Linked DNA regions of Sus scrofa. The protein of the gene in region 5 interacts with the protein of the main gene of each other region in a pairwise test. Links are inferred from orthologs where the notes say so. Each region holds a gene or a part of one and is shown on either strand. Other genes may lie near its edges.

Region 1 (3,500 bases), on a different chromosome or scaffold from region 5:
AGCCCAGACCACTCCAGGGCTCCCAGCCCCAGGGACTGCCCGGTACCCTCACCTGTGTGCTCTGCAGCTGCTGTTCTGCACTCATTTTCTCCTCCAGCACTTTCTGCAGTGACTCCTTGGCCTTCTGCTCATAGCTGTGTTTCTGGTCTTCCATCTCTAATATCACCTTCTTCATTCCCCTGGGGGAGTAGTTCTGCAAATGTGATTCAATTCAACAAATACACATTGAGCGTCTGTGTGCCAAACCCTGAGCAGGGATGCAGAAGGGAAAAGAAGTCAGTCCTTGCCCACAGGGCAGAGATGCTGGTAACCTGGTGGCCCTTCTCCCAGGTTGGAGGTGGGCAGGGAGAGCCCCTCAGGTGATGTGAGAGGTGAGGGGGGATAACAAACTGCCCTGGGCACGCTGGGCATCGGCCCTGGGCATCGGCCCCTAGGCCTTCCCTAGGGTCCTGAAAGTCAGTATTCCAGAGGGAAATCACCTTTCTTTTCTTTTTTTTGGAGGGGGGGGAGGTGTTGGTTTTAGGGCCACACCAGAGGCAAATGGAGGTTCCCAGGCTAGGGGTTGAATGGGAACTACAGCCGCTGGTCTGTGCCACAGCCACAGCAATACAGGATCCAAGCTGTGTCTGTGACCTACATCACAGCTCATGGCAACCCCGGATCCTCAACCCACTGATCGAGGCCGGGGATTGAACCTGCGTCCTCATGGATACTAGTTGGGATTTGTTTCCTGGGCACTCCAGGGAAATGGTCTTTCTAAACCTGCTCCCGTCTCAGTGACCAGCATCATCACCTAGTCTCCCACACCCTAAACCAGGGAATCATCCGTGATTTCTCTCCAAGGAATCAGTTGGCCATTGAGCTTTGTGGACCTCCTGAACAGCACACGCCTCTCTCTCTCTCCTTCTGCCTCCTTAGTCGGACGCGAATAACAGTATCCTATGGATTGTATAGTCTCCCTATTTCAGGCCGTGCTTCTATCAAACCCTTCTCAGTCTGCAGCTAGAGCATTCTCTCTAAAACTCAAATTGGATCCTGTCACAACCTGCTTAAACCTCTCAGTGTCTTAAGGATCAGGTCCAAACTCCTTGGTACAGCTCCTACTTAAAGCCCAGACTTTGATTCCACGGGGCCATCACCCCAGCACTGTGCTTTTCAGCCTCTGCCTTTGCCCATAGAGCTGCTTCTCCCTAGGGCATCCTGACCCTTTCACCAGGGTAAAAGATACAGCCCGAGAATCACATAAATTCTGATAAATATGGTTAACCACATGATCCCTCAACTCTTTTTTTTTTTTTTGGTTGCCCCACAGCATATGGAGCTCCCGGGCCAGAGATGAGATCTGAGCAGCAGTTGCGACCTAAGCCAGGTCCTTAATCCACTGTGCTGGGCCAGGGATTGAACCCACGTCCCCACGCTCCCAAGACACCACACTGATCCCATTGTGCCACAAGGGGAGCTCCATATCCCCCAACTCTTTATGGATTAGACAGTGTTGCAAGGTATCCCCTGCCCATCTCTATCTTTCTAATATACTGACTCACCCGTCTCTTTTAAGGGATTGTAAACTCCTTTCAGGCAGGGAGTGTTTTTTTAAAAATAAAATTATATGTATAGCTTCATGGATCCGAACAAGCTTCAGCAAACTCAGTTTTAAAAAATTAATACACTTGCATTTTTAGAATTTCTCCTGGCTTCAAGATAAAAAATAAAAAATATACAAGAGCAACTTTGCAAATTCCCTGGAGTTCTCACCCTTCCCATGCTTTTCATTTTTTCCCCTGTGGTTTGGGGGAAAGCACGAAGCTTTTACCATCGATTTCCCGACTGGTTAAGAGATAGTCTAACTAATGCACATTTAGGGACCAATGTGGAATCGTTTCCTTTTAGCTTTGGAACCATCTGAAAATTTGGATTTAAATGTTGAGTCGGTCTTATGTCCCAGGAACTCTCATTAGAAATCAGAAACAGGAGTTACTGGTTGAGACCATACATGGCATGTCTAAGTTATTGGATTTAACCATGCTGGTCACTGGCCAGCCGTATCCCCCGTAGAAAATGAGTGGACTGGCATTCTGGATTATACGTCGGTCTCTTATGAGTCTGGTTGGCATTATTTGGTCATAAGAGTCTGACAAAGTCGGTCATGACGGAAAAAAGGAGTTGTGAGTCAGCAAACCCACAGATTATATAAATTACGTAATCAGCAAAATTTGTACTACGTGGCCGCTTTACCTCCCTGACATCAAGTAGGAGCAGTCTGGCAGGTCCACCTCATTCTCTCTCTCTCTCCTTTTTTTTTTTTTTTTTTCTTTTTGTCCTTTTTGGGCTGTGCCTGCGGCATATGGAGGCTAGGAGTCTAACCGGAGCTGTAGCTACGGCCTACACCACAGCCACAGCAACGCTGGGTCCGGGCCTCATCTGCAACCTGCGCCACAGCTCATGGCAACGCCGGATCCTTAACCCACTGAGCAAGGCCAGGGATCAAACCCACAACCTCATGGTTACTAGTTGGATTCGTTTTCACTGCACCACGATGGGAACTCCTCATTCTCTTATTTGATGTTTCTCCTCACCTGTCAGAAATCCATCACTTCTTGAGTGTAAAAGCTGACTTCCTTCCATTTCATATAATTCGAGATCAGGCCAAGCAAGAGATTCCCAGAGCTGGATAACAACACCTCAGAGGAGCTAGGAGGCACAGTCTCTTACTTTCTCCCAGGAATTGCTGCCAGGTAAATGTTGCCCATGGGGAGTTCCTGTCATGGCGCAGCAGAAACAAATCCGACTAGGAACCATGAGGTTGTGGGTTCGATCCCTGGCCTTGCTCAGTGGGTTACGGATCTGGCATTGCCGTGAGCTGTGGTGTAGGTTGCAGACATGGCTTGGATCCTGTGTTGCTGTGGCTGTGGTGTAGGCTGGCAGCTGTAGCTCCAATTAGACCCCTAGCTGGGAACCTCCATGTGCTGTGGGTGTGGCCCTAAAAAGCCAAAAAAAAAAAAAAAAAAAAAAGTTGCTCATGGGATGAAAGTCATTTTGCGAGTCCTCATTGTAATATCTAACTCATCTGTTCAAAAACTGGGACCGGTGAAGTTCTCTCCAGGTGGGCTGACTCTTTGCCAAGGGCTTCTCCCTGCGTTCCCAGGAATTCTCAATGTTCCCCTGGAGCTGGCAGAGTGCTTGGTGCTGGGCTTCCTTTTTTCAAGGTGCAAAGGGAAAGACATGGGGAGAAAGGCGGGGGAGGATGGAGATCGTGTTTGGTAAATTGGAGGCTAAAGTGAAAAATGATGAAGCCAGGTTCGGGTGGGTAGGAATAGGTGCATTAATTCCTAGTAGCGACATTTCTAGAGAGTAGGATTGAGGTTCAAATGTTCTCTCCTATTTAATTCTCGTTTCCTGAGCTAGATGTGTCCTTCAGAATGCTTACCTGGGTACAGGTGTACAGCTGGTTTTCTAAGGATCTCAGTTTGCCCTTCAATTTGTCTTCATTAAGCTGGCCC
Region 2 (3,500 bases), on a different chromosome or scaffold from region 5:
CAGGAGCCCCTGTGAGGGGCTGAGGACGGCCCCGCCCGCCCCCAGTCCCCGTTTCAGAGGACCCCAAAGCCAGACCCACACGACTCGATGACCCTGCAAACGGCGCAAACAGATCACAAACGTGTGCACCTGCACAGCTCACCTGAGCGCTGTTCTTTTCTCCAACACTGTGTGCGTCTGTCTCAGAAGCTCTGTTCGTGTCCTGCGGCGTCTGCGAGCGAGGCGGGCTGAGCAGAATGACCACAGGACAGAGCGCGCGTTAACCTTCCCCCACGAGAGCAGCCCCCCAGGCCAGGCCAGAGCCGTCCCCAGCACGGGGGCCAGGCCGGAGCGAGCGACCCTCTGTCTTGGAGGAGCTCGGAGGCCGGGCCGTCAGCCCCGAAGCAGGGACCCCACGGACAGCCTGCAGGCACTGCCCCCGCCAGGGTCTGAGGAGGCTGGAAAGGAAGCTCGGGGCTGCGACGGCAGCGACCCAGCAGCTCGCGCTGAGACGCCCGCCTTCCCGCCCACCTGTCGCAGTGAGAGCTCTTGGAGCTGCTCCGTCCAGATTCGTGCTGGGCATCGAGCAGTATCTTCTCCATGTCGCCGTTATAAATAGAAACGGAGTCTGGAACGCTGCTCCCGCTCCCGTTACTGCCAAAGTGCAATTCTACCCAGGAGCCTGATGGGGACAAAAAGAGGGACACGGCTGCAATTTCCTACCCCCAACCAGCGCACCCCTTCCACGCCCAAGACTCCCAGGGAACCGGCCCTGAGCCGGGCAGGAAGACCGTCAGGCCGGCTCCCGTCAGATCGCGGGAGCCGGCCCCGCCTCGCCCTTCCGGGGACCCAAGCGCCCCTGGGGAGAGGGACCCCGCGCGTGCAGCCCCACTGCCCCCAGACGCACTTCGGCGGCTCCAGGGCGCTCGCCGCTCACGGCGGGAGGAAGGCGGGTCAGCGAAATCCTCGGGATTTGCGAGTGAAGGAGAGAGGTTGAAACTGTCACCTGTCACCGACCCCCACCTCCCAGCGTCCCGCTCTGACCTCGAGGCGCTGTCGCGAGCCTCAGAGGCCAGATAAACACACAGCGAATGCAACAGGCGACTGCTGCCGACCCCTGCCGCCAACCCCTGCCAGAGCCGCACGGGCAGTGTCTCCACGGCCAGTCACCAGCGCTCTTCCTCGCCCGAACCGGACCTGACCTCGTTAGAGCCCCACGCAGATGGACCTTTCCAGATGGCACAGGAACAGAGCGCCAAGGTCCCCTGCCCACCTGCGCAGCCCATCCACAGCTTCCGCCCCCGACGCTACCAGCCGGCAGAGCCCCGCCAGCCCCACCACCCGCAGGCCCGGAGGAGCCCCGGGGACACGCGGCTGGGAACGGGGGCGAGTGCCAGGGCTGCGGGCTGGCTCTGCCTCGGCTGCCCGGGGCGACAGCCCTGGACTCCAGGAGGCTCTGAGGGGCCTCACACGCAGATGCAGGGCCCGGCGTGTGGGGCCCACAAGCCCACCGCCTCCGAGGCTGCGGGGCCAACAGGCGCGTCTGGGGGCCGCGCACTTGGTCTCTAAGGGCTGCGGCGGCAGCTTGTGCGCTTTCTCTGCGTGTCTGATCTCGAGTGAGGTTGCGCCGGCCTTCCCGGGATGCTGGCCCCGGGGGCACTTTGCGGAGCTCGCTGCTGGCGTCTGCTCCCTTGCTCTGCGCGGTCCACCCTCCCTCCAGCTCAACACTCCGCCGCCAGGCCTTGCATCAGGCAACGCGTTCTCCTGGGTCTGCCGTCCGGGGTCTTGAGGTGGACGTGACCGATCCGAGTTCCAACGTGCAGCCTCCCGCTCGCCTGAGGTTGTGTCTCGCGCACGATGCACGGGCCTGGACGTGGCCCTGCACGAGTGAGCTGGACGCGGCTGGGATAGTCCCTGTGGCTCTGTGGCCAGGCCAGAGCCCCCTGCGTCCCCCCCTCCCATCCTGCTGCTTATCAGTCAAGCTGGCTGCGCACGGGTCTCCGGGGCCCAGGTCCCCGTGGTGTCGCACGGGGCAGGGGTCGTCGTTAAGAGCACGGAGCCAGCCGGACTCTACCGACAACCGTCACCAGAGCACGGCAGCCACCACGGGCCACCAGGCGTCAGGCCCCATCCATCTGACGGAGCCTGGCCTGCAGCCCGCCCGCAACAGCAGGGGAGCGAATCCAAGCTCCAGGAATACAGCGCGAACGGCCGCCCACTTGGCCGCTAAGAGAACCGTCCATTCCAGGCCATGCGCCCTCGGCTCAGCCTCCAGTGGTTCCGTCCACCGGGCCCGCAGCAGGCGAGCCAGGCTTTGTCTGGGAGCCCAGGACCCACTGGACCAAGGCCCAGGCAGCCCGGCCCTCCGCGTCGGCCGAAGCTGCAGGAAGGACGCCAGGTCTCCCGTCCGCCAAGGACGCTGCCCGCCGTGACGCAGGCCCGGGAGCCCCAGGCCCCGCTGAGAAAGAGGCTCGGGTGTCAGAGCCCTTCCCGCAGGAAGGTGACACCCAGCCAGCCGGCCCGCTCTCCCCATGCGTGGACAGGACCGCGGGGCGCTGCTCCGGGCAGGGTTCCTTTTCTAGGTTCTGCCTTAGGCGCGGGGCCTGGCTGCCAGGTCACGTCCCCTTACGGTGGCTGACGTTGCGAGTTGTGACACAGCGTCTGACGTGACAGTGTCTACACCAACCACCAATGTTCCAACACCCGCTAGCTGTCCAGTGTCCATCCTGACACTACCTGGAGTGCAGACGGTAGACGTCTACCTAGATGGCCCCGAGGGGACACCCAGGCCGCCCGCACTGCCGCCTGGTGGACCGCCAGCTCCCCCCTCCCCCAAGGAACTCACTGGAACAACTCACAGAACCCGGAAAACTGCTTACCCGGCCCCATCCCAGAAAGAACACGACACAGGAACAGCAGCTGGGGCGAGGGTGGGGGGCTTCGGAGCCACGGGCCTCCTTCAAACCTTTTCTCACCCAGTCTCTAGGCTGCCCCCAGGTGGGTGCCCAGTGTCCACCCTCATCTTTGGTCTCTCCCGCCCCCGCCTGAGGCTACCTAGGCCCCCGTCACCCCGTTAGCACGGGCCCCGGTGTCTTCCAAAGGAGCTGCTGGCAGAAGGCGCGCTAGTAACTCTCAGCTGCTCCTGCGGCTCAAGGAAGTCCACCGGTGCCGGGGCTGAGCTCGGGGCCCGGAACCGGGGACAGCGATTCAATACAGGTGTTTCTCAACTGAAATACAAAATACGGGAGTTCCCATCATGGCTCAGTGGTTAACACACCCGACTAGGAGCCATGAGGACACGGGTTCGAGCCCTGGCCTCGCTCAGTGGGTTAAGGATCCGGCGTTGCCATGAGCTGTGGTGGAGGTCGGCAGCTACAGCTGATTTGACCCCTAGCCTGGGAACCTCCATATGCCTCGGGGTGCGGCCCTAAAAAGACCAAAAATAAATTAAATAAGTAAACATCAAGAAATACAAACTTCTCAGTTTCAGGAGTGTCTGTTTATTACACCGGCAGGGTCTG
Region 3 (3,500 bases), on a different chromosome or scaffold from region 5:
TGTTGTCAGGATTAAAACAGTTAATTCAGGAGTTCCCATCATGGCTCAGTGGTTAACGAATACAACTAGGAACCATGAAGTTGCAGGTTCAATCCCTGGCCTTGCTCAGTGGGTTAGGGATCTGGTGTTGCCATGAGCTGTGGTGTAGGTCACAGACACAGTTCAGATCCCACGTTGCTGTGGCTCTGGTGTAGGCCAGCAGCTAGCTCCAATTAGACCCCTAGCCTGGGAACCTTCATATGCCATGGGAGCGGCCCTAGAAAAGGCAAAAAGACGGAGTTCCTGTCGTGGCTCAGTGGTTAACAAATCTGACTAGGAACCATGAGGTTGCGGGTTTGATCCCTGGCTTTGCTCAGTGGGTTAAGAATCCGGCGTTGCCGTGAGCTGTGGTGTAGGTTGCAGATGCGGCTCGGATCCTGCGTTGCTGTGGCTGTTGTATAGGCCGGCGGCTACAACTTCGATTAGACCCCTAGCCTGGGAACCTCCATATGCTGCAGGAGCAGCCCAAGAAATGGCAAAAAGACAAAAAAAAAAAAAAAAAAAACCACAGTTAATTCATGCAAACTTGGAAAAATAAAACACAAGAGCTCAATAAATGTTAGATATTATTACTATTATTTTAATAAGTTTGGGGTTTTTTTTGTAAGAGCTCAATAAATGTTAGATATTATTACTATTATTTTAATAAGTTTGGGTTTTGTTTTTTTTGGGTTTTTTTTTTTTTTTTGTCTTTTTGCCTTTTCTAGGGCTGCACCTGCAGCATATTGATGTTCCCAGGCTAGAGGTCTAATCGAGCTGTAGCTGCCAGCCTTTGGCAGAGACGCAGCAACGTGGGATCCGAGCTGCGTCTGCAGCCTACACCACAGCTGACAGCAACACTGGATCCCCAACCCACCAAGCGAGGCCAGGAATTGAACCCGCAACATCATGGTTCCTAGTTGGATTCATTGGCCACTGAGCGACGATGGGAACTCCAATAAATAAGTTTTAAAGAGGTGGTATTTTCTTCAGTTTCCAGTTGAGAGGTTTCCCCATCCTAACAGCCTTTTAAAGTTTCCCCATCCTAATAGCCTCTAATTTTTAAAAGGGTGGTCAGATTTCCAGGAGTATTTCCAAAATTCTTAAGGCAGTGGAAATAGAGTACTTGCAGTTTGAAGACAAAAAAAAAAGTATTTCTAACTATGATGAGCATAAATAATTCCAGCTACTCATAGTTGGAATTATAGGATATCTACTGGCTACTAACAAATAAGTAAAATCAAGAAAGTAAAACCTAGATTGTGCATTTTTAAACCCCCAAAAGACCTTACTGAATATCTGATGCATTGCTCAAAAATTACTCTTTGAAGGAATGAAGGAATGAGATAGGTACAGATTGAACATGAAGAGAAAGTTGTGTTTGGCACAGTCATCCTGGCTTGTTTATTTGCAACCATTCCTCCATTTTCTAATTCAAACCCTACCCCTTGAGTTTCTTCATTCCGAATTTCCTTACAGATAATGAAATAGCTGTAGAGACTGTATTTTTTGCCTGTTCATTTATACCTATATCTCATTCCAGAAACACTTTCACATGGCTTACAGAGACATATGAAACTCAAGATGAAATTAATTAAAGATGAAGACAACAATAGAAAATGCAGGAAGGGCATAAAAGCAAAAATAGGAGTAGGGTTAAAATACCCAGGATAGTAAAAAAGAAAGAAAGAAAAAAACCTTTGAGGAGATAACAGGTTGGCCCTACATTTTCTAAAGCCAATGTAAAATGGTCAGTTGATGAGTTACATAATTGGCAATGGCCCCTGGATAAAAAAAGACCAATTGCTCAGAAGATTCAGCCCCTTTTAGCTGTGGACCTTCTAGAACATTCTCACAAAAGACACAGTAACAAATCATTCACAACAACAATATTAAAGCATAAGAGTTCCTTCAGTGTAGATCAAGAGATCTTGATGAAAAATAATTGAATCATAGCATGAGGGGAGACTCACAGAGGAAGTGAGATGTGACACTGCCTTAGGTAGGAAAGAAACAGATGCCAAATTTTCTATGTGAGGTATTGATCATTTAAAATAAAAGAGAGGTCTGTTTCTGTTGGTATGTCAAATTTATTATTTTCCTTTCCAAGTCAGTGTTTTTATTATTCTGGGTAAACAGTATGCAGCATTTTTATAGTTGTCAAACATAAATACAGTAAATCTGAAAAATTGTCCTATGCTAGAACATGGTCTGCTGAAGTCTTGGGTGTGGGTGACTCCCACCCCCACCCCCAGTCTCTGAGTCACAAGGAAGGATATGAGAAGTAGCCCCTCATCACCAGAAGCATAGTAAGCATTCATTATTGTTGCTATTATTTATTTTCTAGAAATATTAAAAAAAATCACAAAACTTTTTTATTCGCTTTTCAGCATGGTTCCAGTGCTATGGGATCTTGGACTTTTCCAAAAAGCAAACCAAAGAGTTGTACAAATGCATCTATTTGTTTCTAGAATTCACATTTCTCTTCCTGTCTTATCTCTTTCTGTAGGACTTTATCGTCACTGTAGTCTTTTCATTCTTGTGGTTGGTGGGTTCCTCAGCTTGGGCGAAAGGGCTGTCTGACGTCAAGGTTGCTACAGATCCCAAAGAAGTGTTGTTACTGATGTCAGCTTGCAAACAACCGTCCAACAAGTGCACAGCCGTCCACAGCCCTGTGATGTCCAGCCTGAACACTTCCGTGGTACGTTGCCCTCTACATTTCACCTCCCAAATCTTTTTTTTTTTTTTTAAGGCCACCCCTGTGGCACATGGATGTTCCCAGACTAGGGGTTGAATCAGAGCTACAGCTGCCAGCCTACACCATAGCTGCAGCAATGCCAGATCTGAGTCACATCTGCAAATATGCCACAGCTTGAGGCAGCACTGGACCCTTAAACCACTGAGTGATGCCAGGGATCAAACCCTCATCCTCACAGACACTATGTTGGTTTCTTAATCTGCTGAGCCACAGTGGGAACTCCAACCTCCCAAATCTTTGTTTGCCAATGAAGGGAATCAGAAAAACATCTCAAGAGTCATCTTGGAAATTTTTGCCTCTGAAACTGTGCCCATCTAAGAGGTGACAGTTCACTCTCTGTGCAAGACAGTCCCTGGGCCTTCCAGTTTTCTATTGTCAGAACCCATAGACTTAAATGCTGCCAATTACAGAGTTCTTAATAAGAGCCCAGCAGGTACTGGCAGCTGTTGCTTGGATGACAGTCAAGTCAGAATTCTAAGCCAGAAGCAGATACATAATCTGAACTTTAAGGCTGAAATCTGCCAGAAGTTAAAAGGAATATTTGATGGCATAGAAGTTTCCTGGGAAGAAAACATTGTTCAAGCCACGCATAGGTAAAATACACCCAGTTGGCTGTCTGGAGAAAAATACTTGGACCCAGTAGTGTACAGAAAGAAATGCCGAGTATAAAAAATACGTATAATAGTTATGGTAATTTTTTTAATATTCTCCATGCTCCTGGTTT
Region 4 (4,160 bases), about 81 Mb from region 5:
TGAGCCTCCAGATGACTCTGGGCCCAGCCACCATCTGACTGCAACCACGCAAGACCCCAAGAAGGACCACCTAGTTGAGCCCAGTCAACCACTGGACCATGAAAGATAATACCAAATTATTGTTTTAAGCCACTAAGTTTTAGGGTGTTTGTCACATGGCAACAGCTAACCTGCATACCTAGAAAAAGCTTTTAAAGCCTGACACCCCCACTCCCACAGCCCCCTCACAACAAAAGCAACACCAGCCAGGCACATTTTCAGTCCCTTTAATTAGGTGCTCTGAGAGAAGGGCAGAATGGCAGACAGGAGATAAAGAAAGAGGTGCTTCTTAAGCCTCTCTCGGCCCCAGGTCAGTCCTCATCCTCCGGCAGCTGGATCTTGTTGGGGTCGAAGCAGTTGGATTCCATGAGGGGGAGGCCGTTGGCCTCTCGGTATTTCACGAGCCTCTCAGCTTCCCGGCGGGCCCACTCCTGCATCCTGGAGGCAGCAGCGTGGGGGTAGACTTGAGGGAGCCTCCATGGACACCAATCCCCATCTTAGCTCCCATTGCTGCACAGGGACAGGATTCCTGACAGTCTCTTTAAAGCTCCACCCCTGCCTCTGCCCCCACCCACCCCACTCTCTTGGACACCCCATGCACCTGTAGTCAGGCAGATAAGCCACAAAGGTGCTGCCAAGGACCAAGACGATGGAGAAGCCAAAGAAGAAGACGACCCGCATGTTCCAGAGGTCCACAATGGGGTCCTTGTCATAACCGTGGGAATCTGGGTTCTGAGGCAAAGAGAAGAAGAGGTCAATGAAGGCTTCCTGCCACTCCACAAAGCAGTATAACCCGATCTCCAATTTCACCTTGGACCAAGCTCCTCCCTCCCTTCCTAAATTCCTCTCTATTCTTAGGATTTGTCAAGCTCCTTCCCACCACAGGGCCTTTGCACTTGCTCTTTCCTCTGCTGGGAAAGCTTTTCCCGCCGACCTAGCTGTGGCTGGATCTGCCTCCTCAATCAAGGTTTTGGCTTCATCATCGCTCCCCTCAGGAGGCATTTCCTAGTCACCTTGTCTATTAAGTTGAGCTAGAGCAAACTGACATTTTTAACAGGTCAAAAATTATTGAATATTGGCAATTTCCTATGGCTCAAACTAATAAAATAACTCCCTACCCCAAGTCACTATCCATTCACTTATCTTGCTTAACAGTCTTTCTAGCATTTACTTGTTTGCCAAAGCAGTATAGCCCCCAAATCCTCTGATCACATTATCTTATATTATTGATTGCATACTTTATATCACTGGGTTTTTTTTCTTTTTTATCTTTTTGCCTTTTCTAGGGCCGCTCCCACGGCATGTGGAGGCTCCCAGGCTAGGGGTCCAATCAGAGCTGTAGCTGCTGGTCTACACCACAGCCACAGCAACTTGGGATCCGAGCCACGTCTTCGACCTACACCACAGCCCACAGCAACACCGGATCCTTAACCCACTGAGTAAGGCCAAGGATCGAACCTGCACCCTCATGGTTCCTAGTCGGATTCGTTAACCACTGAGCCACGACAGGAATTCCTCTATATCACTGTTTTCTAATATTCTATACATTTATTTTCCCTGTTCTCTGCTATCATGTATGCTCTGTGAAAGCAAGGGCTTTATCTAACTCCCATGTGGCTGAATCCCTAGCACCCTGAACTTAGCCTGGCACACAGCAGGCCTTCAATACATATTTACAGAATTAATATATAAATGAATAAGCATCCTACAGAGCCAAGCTCCTCAACCAAAGGTTAGTATTGATGAAGCATCTATCACGTGCCAGGCCTTTTCACAAGCACAAACTGCACAATATCCTGGTAAGGTGGAAAGTGGCAAGAATAATTAACAGCTTCTAATGGTGAGTACTTAATAAGTGCCAATTGCTGTTCTGAGCACTCTGACTCATTTAATTACACGAGGCAGGTGTAATATTTTATTTTTTAGAAAGTGTCCTAATACTTTCCCCATCTTTCAAAGAAACTGAAGCACCAAGGGGTTAAGCTACTCGCCCAAGGTCACATATGTAAGTAACTATCAGGGCCTGTATTCCAACTCAGGCATTCTGATTTCAGTCTCTGCTAACAGGATAGCACAGCAGACCTGATTCTGCCACACATTCAGTTAAGTGAGCTTGGAGGAGTCACTTAACACCTTCATGCTTCAGTTTCCTCATCTGCAGAATGGGTATATTAATAGTACCTACCTCGAAATAGGGCTGTTTTGAGGATTAAATAAGTTAATATTATAAAGTGTTTCGAACACCTGAGCAAGGACCGTATCAGTGTTTAATATTATTGCTGTTATGGTATACTGCTCATTTCAGGTTTGATATCTGTCTGGAAAATAAGGTCAGTCTCGCCTCTGGCCCTGAACCGAAGGTTATCAGGGGACAAAGGAGGAAAAGGAGCTAGAAAGAACTCCCAAATCTTTGAGGATTTTGCCAGCTGCGCAATCCTCAGCCGACTAAGTACGTCCTCTACGGCGCCCCGTCCGCAGGTCCCCGATTGACCCTTGCGGCGTCCCGTTTCCCCTCCCTCTCACCTTCTCATAGAGGTTTTCGTCCTCCGGATCTGGGTCCTCCTGCAAGCGTATAGTCGGTTCCGGCGGCCGCTTTCCCACCAGAGCGGACGGGGCGATCACAGCCCTGGAGGAGCCGGACTCCCAGCGAACACGGGCAGCCGGGAGCCCTCGCGTCGCCGCTGCTGCTAAAAGGCGGCGAGCGCACAAACCTAACACCCCGGCCGCCATGACAGCTCGTTCTGCAGGCTCGCGGGGGCGGGGACGGAAATGTGACTCTGCGCAGCTGCAGTTGGGCCTGAGCGCGAGAATTGTCGCTCCGCCCCCGCCGCACTAAATAGGTCCCGAGTTGGGATTTTGTTTTCAAACGTCCTCTTTCCCTCCCTCTGTCATGGCCTCACGGGAGCAACCAGCTTCCTATCTTCTCGGTCAGGCTGTGGAATTTCTGGCCGAAAAGGCTGCTTATTTTCTTGACGAGAAGAAAACGGTGACACTTGGGTGGATGCAGTCCCCAACCAATCTCGAGGAGAGTTCCCGTGCCCTTTGGCGAGAGGGGCGGAGCTTCCGCTGGTCTTTCATCTTCCTAGGAAGCCGAGCTTCTAAAAAGCGGGCCTCGCCGGATTGGCCAATAGCTACTCTTTTTCTCGACTTGCGGGCGTTCGCACGGGGAGCGGGGTGGTGGCATGCGCTTGCCAATCAGAGCAGGCCAGGGCTGGCCCACGAAGGACGGCGACCAATAGACGGGGCCGGCCAGAGCGCGCTCCCTTAGTAGGTGGATGGTGGTCGAAGCGCCGGCTCCCTTCTCGTCGTCGCCATTTTGTGCTGGTGATCGCGGCCGGCTGGGAGTAGGCGGCAGTGAGTTGCCCGGGGAGGGCAGCGCGCCTGGGCGCTCCTTCCCTCCCCAGTCCTCCGCCCTTCCGCATTCAGCCTCGGACTGGGTCGTTGCGCGGACCGGCTCCGGCTGAGCTGGGAGAGTTGGAGGAGGTGGCGGCGGGCCGAGGTGATGTCCGGGAGCCCTCCCTTGACAGCCCGGGCCGAGAAGGTGAGCGTCGACGCTGGTCGTGGGGGCGGAGGTAAGGGACCGGGGGCGGGGGTGGGGGGGGGAACGCGTAGAGGAGGCGCGAGGGCGAACTGCGGGCGGCAGGTTTGGGTTTTCGTGCAGAACCCCCGATGCTCACACGGTCTGTGCTCGGGAGGGGGTGTCTTTTTTTGTTGTTGTTTTTTGTTTTTCTCCTTTTGAGAGCAGAGGCGCGTGCGCGATTGGGACACAGGATGGGTGCACGCGGGTTGGGGGAAGGGAGGGACGGATGGGAGTGGGTTACTGTGGCTTAGTGTGTCTGCGACGCCGAACTTTATCCGTGGGAGGCGAGTGTCTGCGACTTTGGTTTTTATCTATAGGAAGTGTGCTGTCTGCTCTCCTGTGTGACTTTGGTACTTACCTATCCACGGGGAAGTGTTTGGTGGCTCTGGTCCTTATTCTTGAGTGGGGGAGGAGGGAGAACGTATGACTGGGGTCTCTATCCTCGGATCGTGTGTCCGTAACCCTGGTCCTTATCCATGGGGAGGGGTCCTTATCCCAGAAAGTCTTCTTACAACTGGCCCTAATCCACTTACTGGGTGGG
Region 5 (4,219 bases):
ATTTGTTAAAAGTGTACTCCTTTGGTTTGAAGAGGTAATATTAATTCATCAGAGATGAACTAATTCCCTCAACCGCCCCTCCCCAATCCCATCCCACCTCAGTTTCAGGGCATGCGTAGCTTACTGAAGCCTGAGCTAGTGGAGCCACTTGATGTGGCTTCAGCCTTTGAACACCTGAAGCCAATTCAACGTTTATGGCTTCTTTTCATTCCCAAAGGTCTGTGACCTGGGACTTCTTTTTATCTTTATTCATTTGTGGCTGGAATCAGTTCCGTATTTATTATACCCCATTCCCTAGAAGACTCAGATCTCCTTCCTCCCCAATGGGGCCGCCTTTGCCGGATAGCATTTGCAACAGTTTAACAGTCGTGTTTCTAAAAATTGCCCTCATCCAAGGTGAATGCAGCTGGCAGAATCAGCCAAACAACAAGGACTCCAGTGATTTTTCTAGAGGAGTCACGCGTCCCCCTCCCTAAAATGGCCACCATTTTTCCTAGAACGTTTCCTCAGAAGGTGAACGAGGCTTAAGATGCACTGCAGAACAATGGGACTCAGGTGATTTTCTAGAACATCAAGCCTCCCTCCCTCTCCAACCAGGTTGCCTTCCCTCAGTAACCATTTCCAGAGTCTAAAAATCAGGTTTCTAAAACTTTCACTCAACTACAGTGAAAGTAGCTTAAAGGATTGGCTACAGAGCATGAGACTCACATGATCCCCATCAACAGGCCGGTTGTCCTCTTCTGCAACCTGGTTGCCTTTTCCAAGTAACTTTTGCAACAATATAGCCACCATATTTCTAAAGCTTTCCCCCACCGGAGGTGAATGTAGCTGAAAGGACTGGCTACAAAATGATGGCACTCAAGGACTCACTTCATTCCCTAGAGCTGCTCCAAAATGGCTGCCTTTTCCCAGTATCCTTTGCAACAGTAGAAGCACCATTTTTTCGAGAACATTCCCTCACTCATATGGAGTGTAGCTTAAAGAATTGGCTACAAACTGCTCAGATGCAAATGACTGGATTTCCTAATGGCCATGGAGCATAGCAATCTCACTTGCCTGAGTCTTGTCCCATCCCTAAGATATACAGATGTACATATGTTTATTTGTACGTATATCTCATTTGTATATGCTTATATATTTTTATATTTTATATACTTCTACATAGAAATGCATTTATATACAGGAATAAAAACAAAATATAAGATATATTGGGAAAATACAGATATATAGATATACATATGTGGTGATAAATACAGATGTATTTATTTATTAATAAAAGAAAGTGTTATTTCACACACTTTAGAGTTGCACAGAATACGGTATATGTGTACTCCCCAAGCAATGTGTAATTCAGCATTCTGTACTTTCAATACTGAATTCCTAGCCTAACAATAAATAGTCCTGACCTCTTGTTGGACCATGTGGCCCTCATTTCCCTGCCTACTGCACAGGAGCTTCCTCTCTCACCCCTAATTCAACATCTGGCCTTGCTTGACCTCACCATCTTCAGACTTAGATCCCCTATAGCTGCTACTCTCAAACCCAACCATGTACCAAGGTCCCCATATAGTACCGTTTTCTTGGACTTGTTGGCAGCCAAATTCCAAGCTGCAGCAGAATCGGAAATCTTTGAATCCAACTTCTGACGGCTCTGAGAAGCACCCAGGGACCGGATTCCATGCTCCAACATTTCTAGGGAGAAAAATGGAGGTCCCAGGAACACACATACAGCTATACCAAAGCTTCATGGGCACAGGACACACCGGAAAAGGGACAAGAACTTCTCAGGAATCACCAAACACCCATTCACTGATATCCACTGGCCAAACCCATGTCTCAGTTTCTTCATCCATTCAAGATGTAGCAGGTATTTACCGAGCATAAAGCTCTGGGCTACATGACTAAAGAGAGGACAACGGCCAGGAGATAAGATGACAGCAATCAGGAGACTGACCGTGTATTTCTAGGGAGAATGAGGGTGGCAGAAAATACTCTGTCCATGTAGATTCAGATCAATAAAAACAAGACAGAAAGAAGGGGCTACGTCTAGAAAAGTCAGGAACAACACTACGACACAGACCTGAAAGAGTCCATCCCTGAAAAATCTAGAGAAGCCTGCAAGGTATATGGAACAGCTATAGCACAAGGGCTGTGAGGCAGAAACAATCTTGGGATGTACAGTAGGCCAGCAGGCCACATAGGCAGGAAACAGCAGGAAATACATGGAGGAGGTGACCTTGATCAGATCTTGTAGATCATGGTAAAGACTTTGGATTTTACTCTAAAAGGCAGGAGAAGGTATTGGAGAGTTAGGAGAGAGAAATCATTTGATTGATCTTGTAAACTGAGCCTTGGGAATGTTTTGCAATAGACACCTCCCTCATATCATCAATCCCTTTCTCTCCAACTCCCCTGTCACTCAAGCCAGAAATATATGTGTACGTGAACCAAGGCCACCCACACACGTACCCCCAATCCATGCATCAACATACATGCAGATATGAGTATCTGCCAAGCCACTCATGCACAGTTTCCCACACACACACTCACACACACACACATACACACACACACACACACACACACACAGGTGCAGGCACTCAAGGGAAGGTCCATTTCAGGGGCTCCTCACCTGCTATCAGCACTTGCTCGCGGCTAGGCTCCTGGCTTTTAGGAACCAGCTCTTCAGCCAAGGACATTTCTATCTTCTTGGTGTTAGTGGAGCCTCCTGCCATCACAGCCAGCTCTTCACTTGTAAGCGGTGGCCAAGGATGCACAGAGAGCAGAGCACGGAGGACGCTCTGGGAAAATCAGCTCTTTGACGGGTGGGAGCTCAAGGATATATCTGGACATGGGGGTGGAGCCAGACTCCCCCTCTGCACTCAGGCCTTGGACCCAGCACCTCCTGTTCCTGCTGTATCTTGCTGGCTGGGTTCGAGGCTTTGTTCCCTGCTACTCTGTAAGTAACTTAGGGGAAGAGATAAGGCTTGGAACATTTGTCTGTGAGAACCTCCCTGGTTCTTGGGCCACCCAATTTGGTCCCACAGGGGCACGGGCAGGCTCCACGCTGCATCAATTCTAGAAAGAGGTGGGGGGGGGGTCAGTACCCCAGAGCCAGTTTTTGGCCAAAGCAAAGTTACATCCCGGGTCTGTCATGGCTCCTGCAAGGCCGTCTCTGGCCAGTAATCCACCCCCCTCAGAAGGCATCTTCTGTAGAGCATGCCCTGCCTCCCCTCCAGTCCAGAGTTCCCAGGCAGGGCAGATGGCCTTTTGAGGCCCTGGGTCAGACTGCACAGGAACCCTTAGGGCCAAAGGAGGGAAGGCAAGAGAGTAGGGACCTGCCTACAGCCCCTAGAGCCCAGTTATTCCATCAAGCACTAGTCTATGTGTTGCTATCAAAGTCTTTTGTAGCTGTTGTCCATACCTACAATCAGCGGGCTTGAAGTAAAAGATGGGCCTAATCCTCGATGGTGTGGGTAGGCCTCGTCCAATCAGTTGAAGACCTTAAGAGAAAAGAGGTCTCCCAGAGAATTAATTCTGCTCAAGACTGCAGCATCCACCCTGAAGATTCCAATGCGCTGAACTGCCCTGCATATTTTGGCCTTGCTAGCCTCACAATGGCATGAGCAAATTTCTTAAGATAAAATTTTCCAGACACTCACACCCACATGCATATGTACACACACATACACATATATGTATCCTATTGCCTCCATTTCTCTGGAGACCCCTGCCTGACGCAACCACCAACGATGAGCCCCCAAGCCCCTGGGGGAAGAGGAGGCTATCTTGTTAAAGAAACCCAGCGAGCTCCAAGGAGGAAGAGGGGAGGGGGAGAGGAAGGGAGGAAGGAAAGGGCAGGGAGAGGAAAGGGAGGGGCCAGACTCGTTTAGAGAGGGTGGCAAGACCTGGGCTGCCTGACCCCCTCCCCAGCCCCATCTGTCCAGCGTGGGGAGCAAGCTCTCTGGATCAGATAGGATCAGGTCGGAGCGGACAAAGGCCCTGCCTGCATTCCTGAGGGCCCTGGAGAAGTGCCTCCCGGCTCCAACAGAGCAGCTACGATGAAATCCAAGCCTCCTGGAGGCCACCTTACGAACAGAGAAGTGCACTCTGCAGGACCTAGGAGCCTGGGATGCAGGAGCTGTGGGTTTCTGGCAGGCTGGGGATGCCAATTGATTTGGAATCTCAAATAAACCACAATTTTTTTTTTTTTTTTTTT
Region 6 (4,245 bases), on a different chromosome or scaffold from region 5:
ATAGAAATAAAGGGAACCAGCAGGAACGGAGAATTAGGTTACTTTTTCTGGGCCTTTGGTTAGAGAGTCCTCCAGATGGAGTTGAAGGAAGTGCCAGTTAAGAGTTGGTGGGCTCCAGTCAGAACACCTGAGTGTGCCCTCATGTGGATCAGTGATGGTCAGATGGCTTGCACCCCGTCTAAACATATTGCCATATTTATTTTTTTAATTTTTTTATTTAAAAAATTTTTTTTTGTCTTTTTGCCGTTTCTGGGGCAGCTCCCATGGCATGTGGAGGTTCCCAGGCTAGGGATCCAATCAGAGCTGTAGCTGCTGGCCTACACCAGAACCACAGCAACACCAGATCTGGGCCGCGTCTGCAACCTTCACCACGGCCCACGGCAACGGCGGATCCCCAACCCACTGAGCAAGGCCAGGGACTGAACCCGCAACCTCGTGGTTCCTAGTCGGATTCGTTAACCACTGAGCCACGACGGGAACTCCAACATACTGCCATATTTAAATAATAGACATTCATATAGGTGCATATATATATTTACACGTAACCTGAAAGGACAAATATCAGTTTTGACACTGGCAGCCTCCAGGAAGGGAATGGGAATTGTGGAAAAGGCAGAGGGAGGAAGATTGAGGACTTGTATTTTTTTCTCCGTATTTCTATACTGTCTGACTTTTTCATAGAGAGAACATATTCATGTGGCGTTCTTTTGTGGTTGCAGTGGGTTAAGGGTCCAGCACTGTCACTGCAATGGCTTGGGGTGCTGATGTGGTGCAGGTTCAATCCCGGGCCCCAGGAACTTCCACGTGCCAGGGGCACAGCACACACACCCCTCCCCCCAAAAAAGAAAGAAAACAAGTTCATGTGCTGAGTAGAAAGAATTAAACAGAAGATCTGATTACAAAAAAAAAAAAAAAAAAAAGAGAGAGAGAGAGAGAGAGAGAAAATGAAGAAAAGTTACCTGCAGAAACTGCCTGCGATCCAAGACCTGGCTCCTTGGTGCCTGGCTAAAGCCCCAACGCACAAAGAGACAACTGGGTTAAAGTTCCTGGAGAAAAGAGGAAGTGAGGTGTTTGGTATCTGTATCACATCTGCCAGGCCCACAGGGTGAGACACCTGGCAGGCAGTTAGTTCCCATTGGAATGGGAGCTGATCCTCTTTTCTGGCCCGCTGCTTCAGGGCTGGAGAAGTTCAACAAGTGCATGGAACATCAGAGACCTGGAAATGCTGAATTTGCTCTGAGGTTTCTTGAGGCCCTGTCGGCTTCTCTGAGTAGCCTCCAGGCTCAGGAGCCCTGCCCGGGCCCTCAATGCCCTCCTGGCCTGTGCTTCTCAGTCTCCAGCCACCCGCTTTCTTCCTGAGTGGTGGCCTTTCCCAAGCCTGCGTCCCAGCCCCGCCCCTCTCTCTGGACGCATCTCTGGGCCCCATCATCACCCGGCGCCGGGCCCTCCCTCCCGCCCCCCCTTTCTCCTCCCTCCTTCCTTCCCTCCCTTCCTCCCTCTCTCCCTCCCTCCTAGCTCCTGCACCAGGAAACGGCCCGGATCCCGGCAGCGGCCTGACCCGTGAGATCCTTAACCTGGCAGGCAGGCGGGGTTGCAGACTGGCTGAGGGTGGGGGTGAGGGAGGAGCTGGGCCTTTGGGCTGCACTCGGGGGGAGCCAGGAGTAGAGATGGTGTCGGCAGGAAGCCCTTGGCCCTGGGTTTCCCGGGAGGACAGTCATTAAACATGGATTCGGCCACACAGCTGGTAGAGCGTTGGGGGCAGGGCCCTTGTCCCGGGAGCTGCAACCCCAGCCCTTCTCAGCCCGGACCCTGATCCCTGGTCTTTCCCATCTAGCTCTGATCTCCCCCTCCCCTTCCCAGGGCTCCACGCTGGGCAAGAGGATGAAAGGCCCCAGCTGGGGGCTCCTTGCCACCAGCGCTGGGTCCTAAGAGCTGCCATCCAGGCTGGGTGAGTGTCCCCTTCCTTCTCTGTCCTGGGCAACCCTTGGCTTCTCCTTCTTTCCCTTCAGCCCTGTCTCCTCCCCCATCTTGTGCCTCTGTCAGCATCTTCACATCAGGCCTCTGGGGAGGCCCTAAGCCCCTTCCTCTAGCCAAAAAGGTGTATACCGTGGAGAGGGGGCTTGTAGGGATGTCACAGCCCTGCTGTTGTCTTCTTATGGAAAGAATCTAAAAAAGTATTTTAATAATGAAATTTACTTGTTTTACCTTTAATTTGGCATATTATGAGTTTTAAGGGCCAGGCCCTCATGCCCTGACCCCTCACCATGGCTTAATTTCCTTGTTCTTACCTCTCCCAGGCCAGTGGTCTCTGAGATTTCCTCCCCGCTCTCTCCCTGTCTCACTGGGCTGGCCAAACCTGAAATGCCCCCTTCTGAGTCTCTGACCCTATAATCATGCCAGTGTCTTTTGTGTTTGACTCTGACAGCCGCCCGGATGGCGACCCCGGCCTCAGCCCCAGACACACGGGCTCTAGTGGCAGACTTTGTGGGCTATAAGCTGAGGCAGAAGGGTTATGTCTGTGGAGCTGGCCCCGGGGAGGGCCCAGCAGCTGACCCGCTGCACCAAGCCATGCGGGCAGCTGGAGATGAGTTCGAGACCCGCTTCCGGCGCACCTTCTCAGATTTGGCAGCTCAGTTGCATGTGACCCCGGGCTCGGCCCAGCAGCGCTTCACCCAGGTCTCTGATGAACTCTTCCAAGGAGGCCCCAACTGGGGCCGCCTTGTGGCCTTCTTTGTCTTCGGAGCTGCACTGTGTGCTGAGAGTGTCAATAAGGAGATGGAGCCACTCGTGGGACAAGTGCAGGAGTGGATGGTGACCTACCTGGAGACACGGCTGGCCGACTGGATCCACAGCAGTGGGGGCTGGGTAAGAAGCTTCTCAATTGCTGTTCTGCACATCCCTCCAAAAAGCTGGTCTCCAGGGAGAAGATGGGGGCTCTGGCTGGAGCTGGGGGCAGCTGTGCTGAGAATGAGATGTGAGGTCTGAGTCTCCCTATTTGGGTGGAATGGAATGCCCTTGTCTGGGCATCATTGGACTCTGCCCTCCAGGGCTGCCATGCAGTCATCACTGGGTGGGCTCAGGGTCCAAAGCAGAGTACAGAATACCCAGTAGCCAGGTAGTGCCTGCAGGGAAAAGGCATCCAACTGTCAGGAACCTTTTATACCTGAGTGTATGGCATGGGGGGAGGGGGGTCAGGGATCAGGGATGGGTGGTGGTCAGGCGAGCCTTGGCAAAGGAGGCCCGTTCTGAGCAGAGTTTTTGGCCAGGGAAAGGATGGGATTAGCTTGAGGTAGAGAAGGACAAATGAGCCAGGCGCTCATGGGGGATCAGAGGGGCTGGCAGCCAGTAGAGCTTTGGCTGGAGAGGAGCTAGGGGTGGGGTAGTGCTTGCAGTGGATGGAACTGGAACTCTTCCTCTCCTCTTTTCTCCACTCTTTCCTCTCCTGATATCCCTTTCTCCTTCTTTCTCTCCTACTTCCCTTCTCTCCCACAGGCGGAGTTCACAGCTCTATACGGGGACGGGGCCCTGGAGGAGGCGCGGCGTCTGCGGGAGGGGAACTGGGCCTCAGTGAGGACAGTGCTGACGGGGGCCGTGGCACTGGGGGCCCTGGTAACTGTAGGGGCCTTTTTTGCTAGCAAGTGAGAAAGTCCAGGGCCAGGTGGGGCTAGGTGTGGCTGGGGGACAGGAGAGCAGGAACAGAGCAGAGGAATGCCCTTGGAAGAAGCGGGGGGTATGGAGGGGCATGGAACGGGGATGGGAAGGGGCAGGGTAGCGTGTGAGGGAGCGGAGCATGCCAGGCAGGCGGTTGAGAGAGTGAGCTGGAGACATTGTGGAATGTATTTGGAAAGTCTGGGGGCCAGGAGATGGAGTCATTCCAGGGTCAGGGGGAGGTGGGAGGGATCATGCCTATAGGTGTAGGTACAGAAAACTACCTGGAGCTTGATTTGCAGCCCCGAGGCAGCCCCGAGGCAGGTGGACTTGCTTAAGGGGTTGGCGATTTCCACTGAATGAGCGAGATTTGGGGAAAACACTGAGGGCACATCCCTTTGGCATGGGAGCTTGAGGTTTTCAGGGGATAGGGAGAGGGCTGTGACCGTGGGCACTGGGGACACAAGTGTGCATGTGCACGCGTGCTCGTGTGCATGCTGGGCTGCTTGTCTAATCTGGTGGTGGTGGGACTCCTCTAGGAGAAAACATTCCCTCTTGCGGTGGCAAGAACAAGGTGTGCAGCTCTCTGTCCCTCCC
Region 7 (2,915 bases), on a different chromosome or scaffold from region 5:
GTTAATGACAGTGAGGGCCAGGCCCCCAAAAGGAGAAGCAGGTGTTGGCCTTGGCAGTTCCCACTGCCCACCCGTGAGCTCTTCCCACCAATGTCCATGTAGATGGTCTCAGCCCAGAAGAGAAGCTGGGCACATTAGCATACATTCATTTAATGTACTGCCTCCATGGGCCACTTTAATTTTAAATGAATGGGAAGAAGGAAACACAAAGGAAGGAACTGATAGTGCAAAAAAGCAAGTGCGAATGGGGGTAGCGGGCAGGGAGGCCTCCCTTCCACCTCCCAGAAGGCCCTGCCTGGTCCACAGGCCTCCATCATTGGGGAAGGCAGCGCTTTGTGGGCGGAGCTCTAGAGCCTCAGCCTCCTGCCACGCCCCTTTCTCATGTTACAGAGCCGAGCTTTCGAAGTTTGGGGGAAGCCTGGAGACAGATTCGGGAGCAAGTGGCCCTTCGGGGATGCTGCCTCTGTGTTCTAAAGAGCTGCCAGGTGAGCATCGCCCGCAGATGAATTGTTAGCAGCACTGCAGCCTTTTCTGGAAAGCTGTCAACCCCCTCCAGACCTTCCAGACTGCCCAGTGGAGGGGAAAGGATTGCCCACAGCCTGACAGGCAGAGAGGGCTCTGGCTGGCAGAGTCTGAGCCTCCCCACCCTCACCCCCACCCCCTTTCGGACCCTTTTCAAGAGAGCCCAGGGTCTCCCGCCAACACCCGCCCACACATGCCGGACCAAGCCCTGCAGACCGCAATACAGCCTGGAGGGTGGGATTACGACCTCGGAGAATCACTCAACCTGGGGGGAAATGCAGCTGGCCCTCCTTAAAGATGCTGGCTTTGCAAACCGCTCCTCAGGACTTTATTAGATCTTTTGAAGGCAGGAGTCAAATAAGAGCATATTCTCCTGGGCACACGGAGTGACCCGGGAGGCGAGTCCCGATCCAGCGGTGCGTGGACCCCGCGGCCCTTCGGCTCCTGCGCTCACGCCCTGCGCCGGGGGAAGGCTGGCGACCGGCGGCCTCCGTGGTGGCCACCTTCCAGCATCTGCTCCTCGGCAACTTGGCCGCCGCCCTCCACCCAGAAGGCCTTCTCCTCCTGCCAGAGCGCGTTCTCTTCCTCCCAGAGGGACTTTTTATCCTCCCAGAGCGCCTTCTCCTCCTCCAGAAGGGCCCTCTCCTCGACCCACAGGGCCCTTTCTTCCTCCCACAGGGCCTTGTCCTCCTGAAGAAGGTTGCGGTCTCGTTCCCATAAGGCGTTGTCCTCTTTCCAGAAGGCCTTATCTTCCTTCCAGAAGATTCGGTACTTTTTCCAAAAGGCTTTCTCTTCTTCTCGGAACGATTTCTCCATTTCCCAGAAGGCTCTTTCCTCTTTCCAGAAGGTTTTCTCCTCTTCCCAGAAAGTTCTCTCCTCTTCCCAAAAGCCCAAGATCTGGCCCCTGAAAGTGCAGATCTTGCCTCGGAAAGTCCACATCTCTTCCCTGAAGTCTTCGATTTTCTCACGGAAGTGTTTCATCTCTTCCCGAAACGCCTTTTCTTCCTGCAGCTTGTGGATCAGTTTCTTCCGGCGAAGGCTGGACGAGGACGCCGCCAGGGAGCGGAAGCAGGCAAGCCCCATCCATTTGCTCACCTTGAAGGGAAACATGGTCCTGACCGGCCAGGGTGGCGGGAGGCTGCGCTGGAGGACAGGGCTGCGGGCCGCCTGCAGGTCGGCTGGTCCAACCCTGTGGGGCGCCAGAGAGAGCATGACGGTGAGTAACGCGGCCGGAGGGCAACCCCTGCCTCTGGACCGTTTGACTGGGGGAGTTTTAGCCATTGTTCGCTTTGGCCCTTGGGGGTATTTGTGAGGGACAAGCCTTGGTAGAGACAGATGCCGGCAGGTCATGGCTTTGGGCCGAAGAGAAGGTCGGCACATTCGTGTTCAAAGCCACTAAGAAAATAGATCACAGCCAACCAGGGCGTCAGAACACACAAGTACGACACAGTCACAGCAGAGGTGTGGCACAGTTCGTTTTTACTTTTCAATAATAACGTGCCACAGCCCCAAAGTGACTTGTTTGTGTTAAATCAACCAGAATACATCTGAGGTTTGGGCTTTCTCACTGGGGGACTGCTCATCACCCTCTGGTGAGTGTGCTCACAGCGGGGGCTGCACGTGGGCATGGTTGCTCTTACAAGCCACTTGGGTGGGTGAGACCCACTACCTGGAGGGGCCGATTTTGGAAGAAGAATTTATTTTGGGAACAGAACCAAAAGGTGAAAGAGGACACTGAATGTTGACTAGGATGTGGGAAAGAGCAAGTCTCACCCGAGATCCAGTCATATTGAGCAATAATGAACACATTATGATCCAGCAGCTCCATTCCCAGATCCAAACCCTGAGGAAACTTAGGAATTGTGTTCAGGTGACACATACAGGAATATTCAAGCAGTGCTGTTCACAACAGCTCAACGCTGCCAGGCAGTCCAACAACCATCACAATAGGATGGAGTTCAGCTGTGGTGGTTTATTCATGGAATGCAGAGCACAGCTCTGGGCAGCGAGGTGGAGGGATCTTGTAAAAGTAACATTGAAAGAAAGAAGCAGGATCAAAGACTTTGAAAGAGAAACTTTCAAGACAGGAAAAGTTAAACTATTGTTTAGGGAAATATACTTAGGTGATAACATCTGAGTCCCATCAAGTGAAAGTAGTATTTACTTGTGCGTGAGGGACGGGGTTGGGAGGGAGGATACTGAGGGTTGTGATTGGGTGAGGAGGAGGGGCTTCAGAGGGGCTGGTAGAAATCCGTTTCTTTACTTGATGGCAGGTGCATGCGTGGTCCTTATAAAAAAAAAAAGTGCTAAGTTCGAGTTCCCATTGTGGTGCAGCAGAAACGAATCTGACTAGGAGCCATGAGGTTGTGGGTTTGATCCCTGGCCTTGCTCAG

What was found.
Region 1: the proteins of FATE1 (region 5) and TRAF3IP3 interact in binary tests that used the Homo sapiens proteins (3 or more experiments, as listed by UniProt). The two-hybrid records come from large-scale screens. The link is inferred for Sus scrofa from reciprocal best matches to the Homo sapiens genes FATE1 and TRAF3IP3.
Region 2: the proteins of FATE1 (region 5) and BNIP3 interact in binary tests that used the Homo sapiens proteins (3 or more experiments, as listed by UniProt). The two-hybrid records come from large-scale screens. The link is inferred for Sus scrofa from reciprocal best matches to the Homo sapiens genes FATE1 and BNIP3.
Region 3: the proteins of FATE1 (region 5) and SYNPR interact in binary tests that used the Homo sapiens proteins (3 or more experiments, as listed by UniProt). The link is inferred for Sus scrofa from reciprocal best matches to the Homo sapiens genes FATE1 and SYNPR.
Region 4: the proteins of FATE1 (region 5) and NDUFB11 interact in binary tests that used the Homo sapiens proteins (3 or more experiments, as listed by UniProt). The two-hybrid records come from large-scale screens. The link is inferred for Sus scrofa from reciprocal best matches to the Homo sapiens genes FATE1 and NDUFB11.
Region 6: the proteins of FATE1 (region 5) and bcl-2-like protein 2 interact in binary tests that used the Homo sapiens proteins (3 or more experiments, as listed by UniProt). The two-hybrid records come from large-scale screens. The link is inferred for Sus scrofa from reciprocal best matches to the Homo sapiens genes FATE1 and BCL2L2.
Region 7: the proteins of FATE1 (region 5) and CCDC70 interact in binary tests that used the Homo sapiens proteins (3 or more experiments, as listed by UniProt). The two-hybrid records come from large-scale screens. The link is inferred for Sus scrofa from reciprocal best matches to the Homo sapiens genes FATE1 and CCDC70.

What each region holds. Positions count from the first base shown.
Region 1 is NC_010451.4:133,197,209-133,200,708, forward strand, and holds part of TRAF3IP3 (TRAF3-interacting JNK-activating modulator), read right to left. Parts: exon of another isoform or gene 3,500-3,500; coding exon 3,428-3,499; intron 248-3,427; exon of another isoform or gene 194-247; coding exon 53-193; intron 1-52. UniProt on the Homo sapiens protein: Adapter protein that plays essential roles in both innate and adaptive immunity. Plays a crucial role in the regulation of thymocyte development.
Region 2 is NC_010456.5:140,365,452-140,368,951, forward strand, and holds part of BNIP3 (BCL2/adenovirus E1B 19 kDa protein-interacting protein 3), read right to left. Parts: intron 662-3,500; coding exon 511-661; intron 228-510; coding exon 143-227; intron 1-142. UniProt on the Homo sapiens protein: Apoptosis-inducing protein that can overcome BCL2 suppression. May play a role in repartitioning calcium between the two major intracellular calcium stores in association with BCL2.
Region 3 is NC_010455.5:45,155,732-45,159,231, forward strand, and holds part of SYNPR (synaptoporin), read left to right. Parts: intron 1-2,527; coding exon 2,528-2,719; intron 2,720-3,500. UniProt on the Homo sapiens protein: Intrinsic membrane protein of small synaptic vesicles. Probable vesicular channel protein.
Region 4 is NC_010461.5:41,770,679-41,774,838, forward strand, and holds NDUFB11 (NADH dehydrogenase [ubiquinone] 1 beta subcomplex subunit 11, mitochondrial), read right to left. Parts: upstream 2,801-4,160; 5' UTR 2,770-2,800; coding exon 2,563-2,769; exon of another isoform or gene 2,554-2,562; intron 772-2,553; coding exon 448-771; coding exon of another isoform or gene 351-447; 3' UTR 251-350; downstream 1-250. Other genes in the region: RBM10 (RNA-binding protein 10), read left to right, coding at 3,542-3,611. UniProt on the Homo sapiens protein: Accessory subunit of the mitochondrial membrane respiratory chain NADH dehydrogenase (Complex I), that is believed not to be involved in catalysis. Complex I functions in the transfer of electrons from NADH to the respiratory chain.
Region 5 is NC_010461.5:123,104,667-123,108,885, reverse strand, and holds the start of FATE1 (fetal and adult testis-expressed transcript protein homolog), read right to left. Parts: upstream 2,801-4,219; 5' UTR 2,736-2,800; coding exon 2,633-2,735; intron 1,693-2,632; coding exon 1,574-1,692; intron 1-1,573. UniProt on the Homo sapiens protein: Involved in the regulation of endoplasmic reticulum (ER)-mitochondria coupling. Negatively regulates the ER-mitochondria distance and Ca(2+) transfer from ER to mitochondria possibly implicating it in the regulation of apoptosis.
Region 6 is NC_010449.5:75,767,944-75,772,188, reverse strand, and holds the start of bcl-2-like protein 2, read left to right. Parts: upstream 1-1,445; 5' UTR 1,446-1,560; exon of another isoform or gene 1,561-1,581; intron 1,582-1,834; exon of another isoform or gene 1,835-1,860; 5' UTR 1,861-1,948; intron 1,949-2,425; 5' UTR 2,426-2,433; coding exon 2,434-2,865; intron 2,866-3,492; coding exon 3,493-3,642; 3' UTR 3,643-4,245. UniProt on the Homo sapiens protein: Promotes cell survival. Blocks dexamethasone-induced apoptosis. Mediates survival of postmitotic Sertoli cells by suppressing death-promoting activity of BAX.
Region 7 is NC_010453.5:15,976,314-15,979,228, forward strand, and holds CCDC70 (coiled-coil domain-containing protein 70), read right to left. Parts: upstream 1,738-2,915; 5' UTR 1,735-1,737; coding exon 973-1,734; 3' UTR 501-972; downstream 1-500.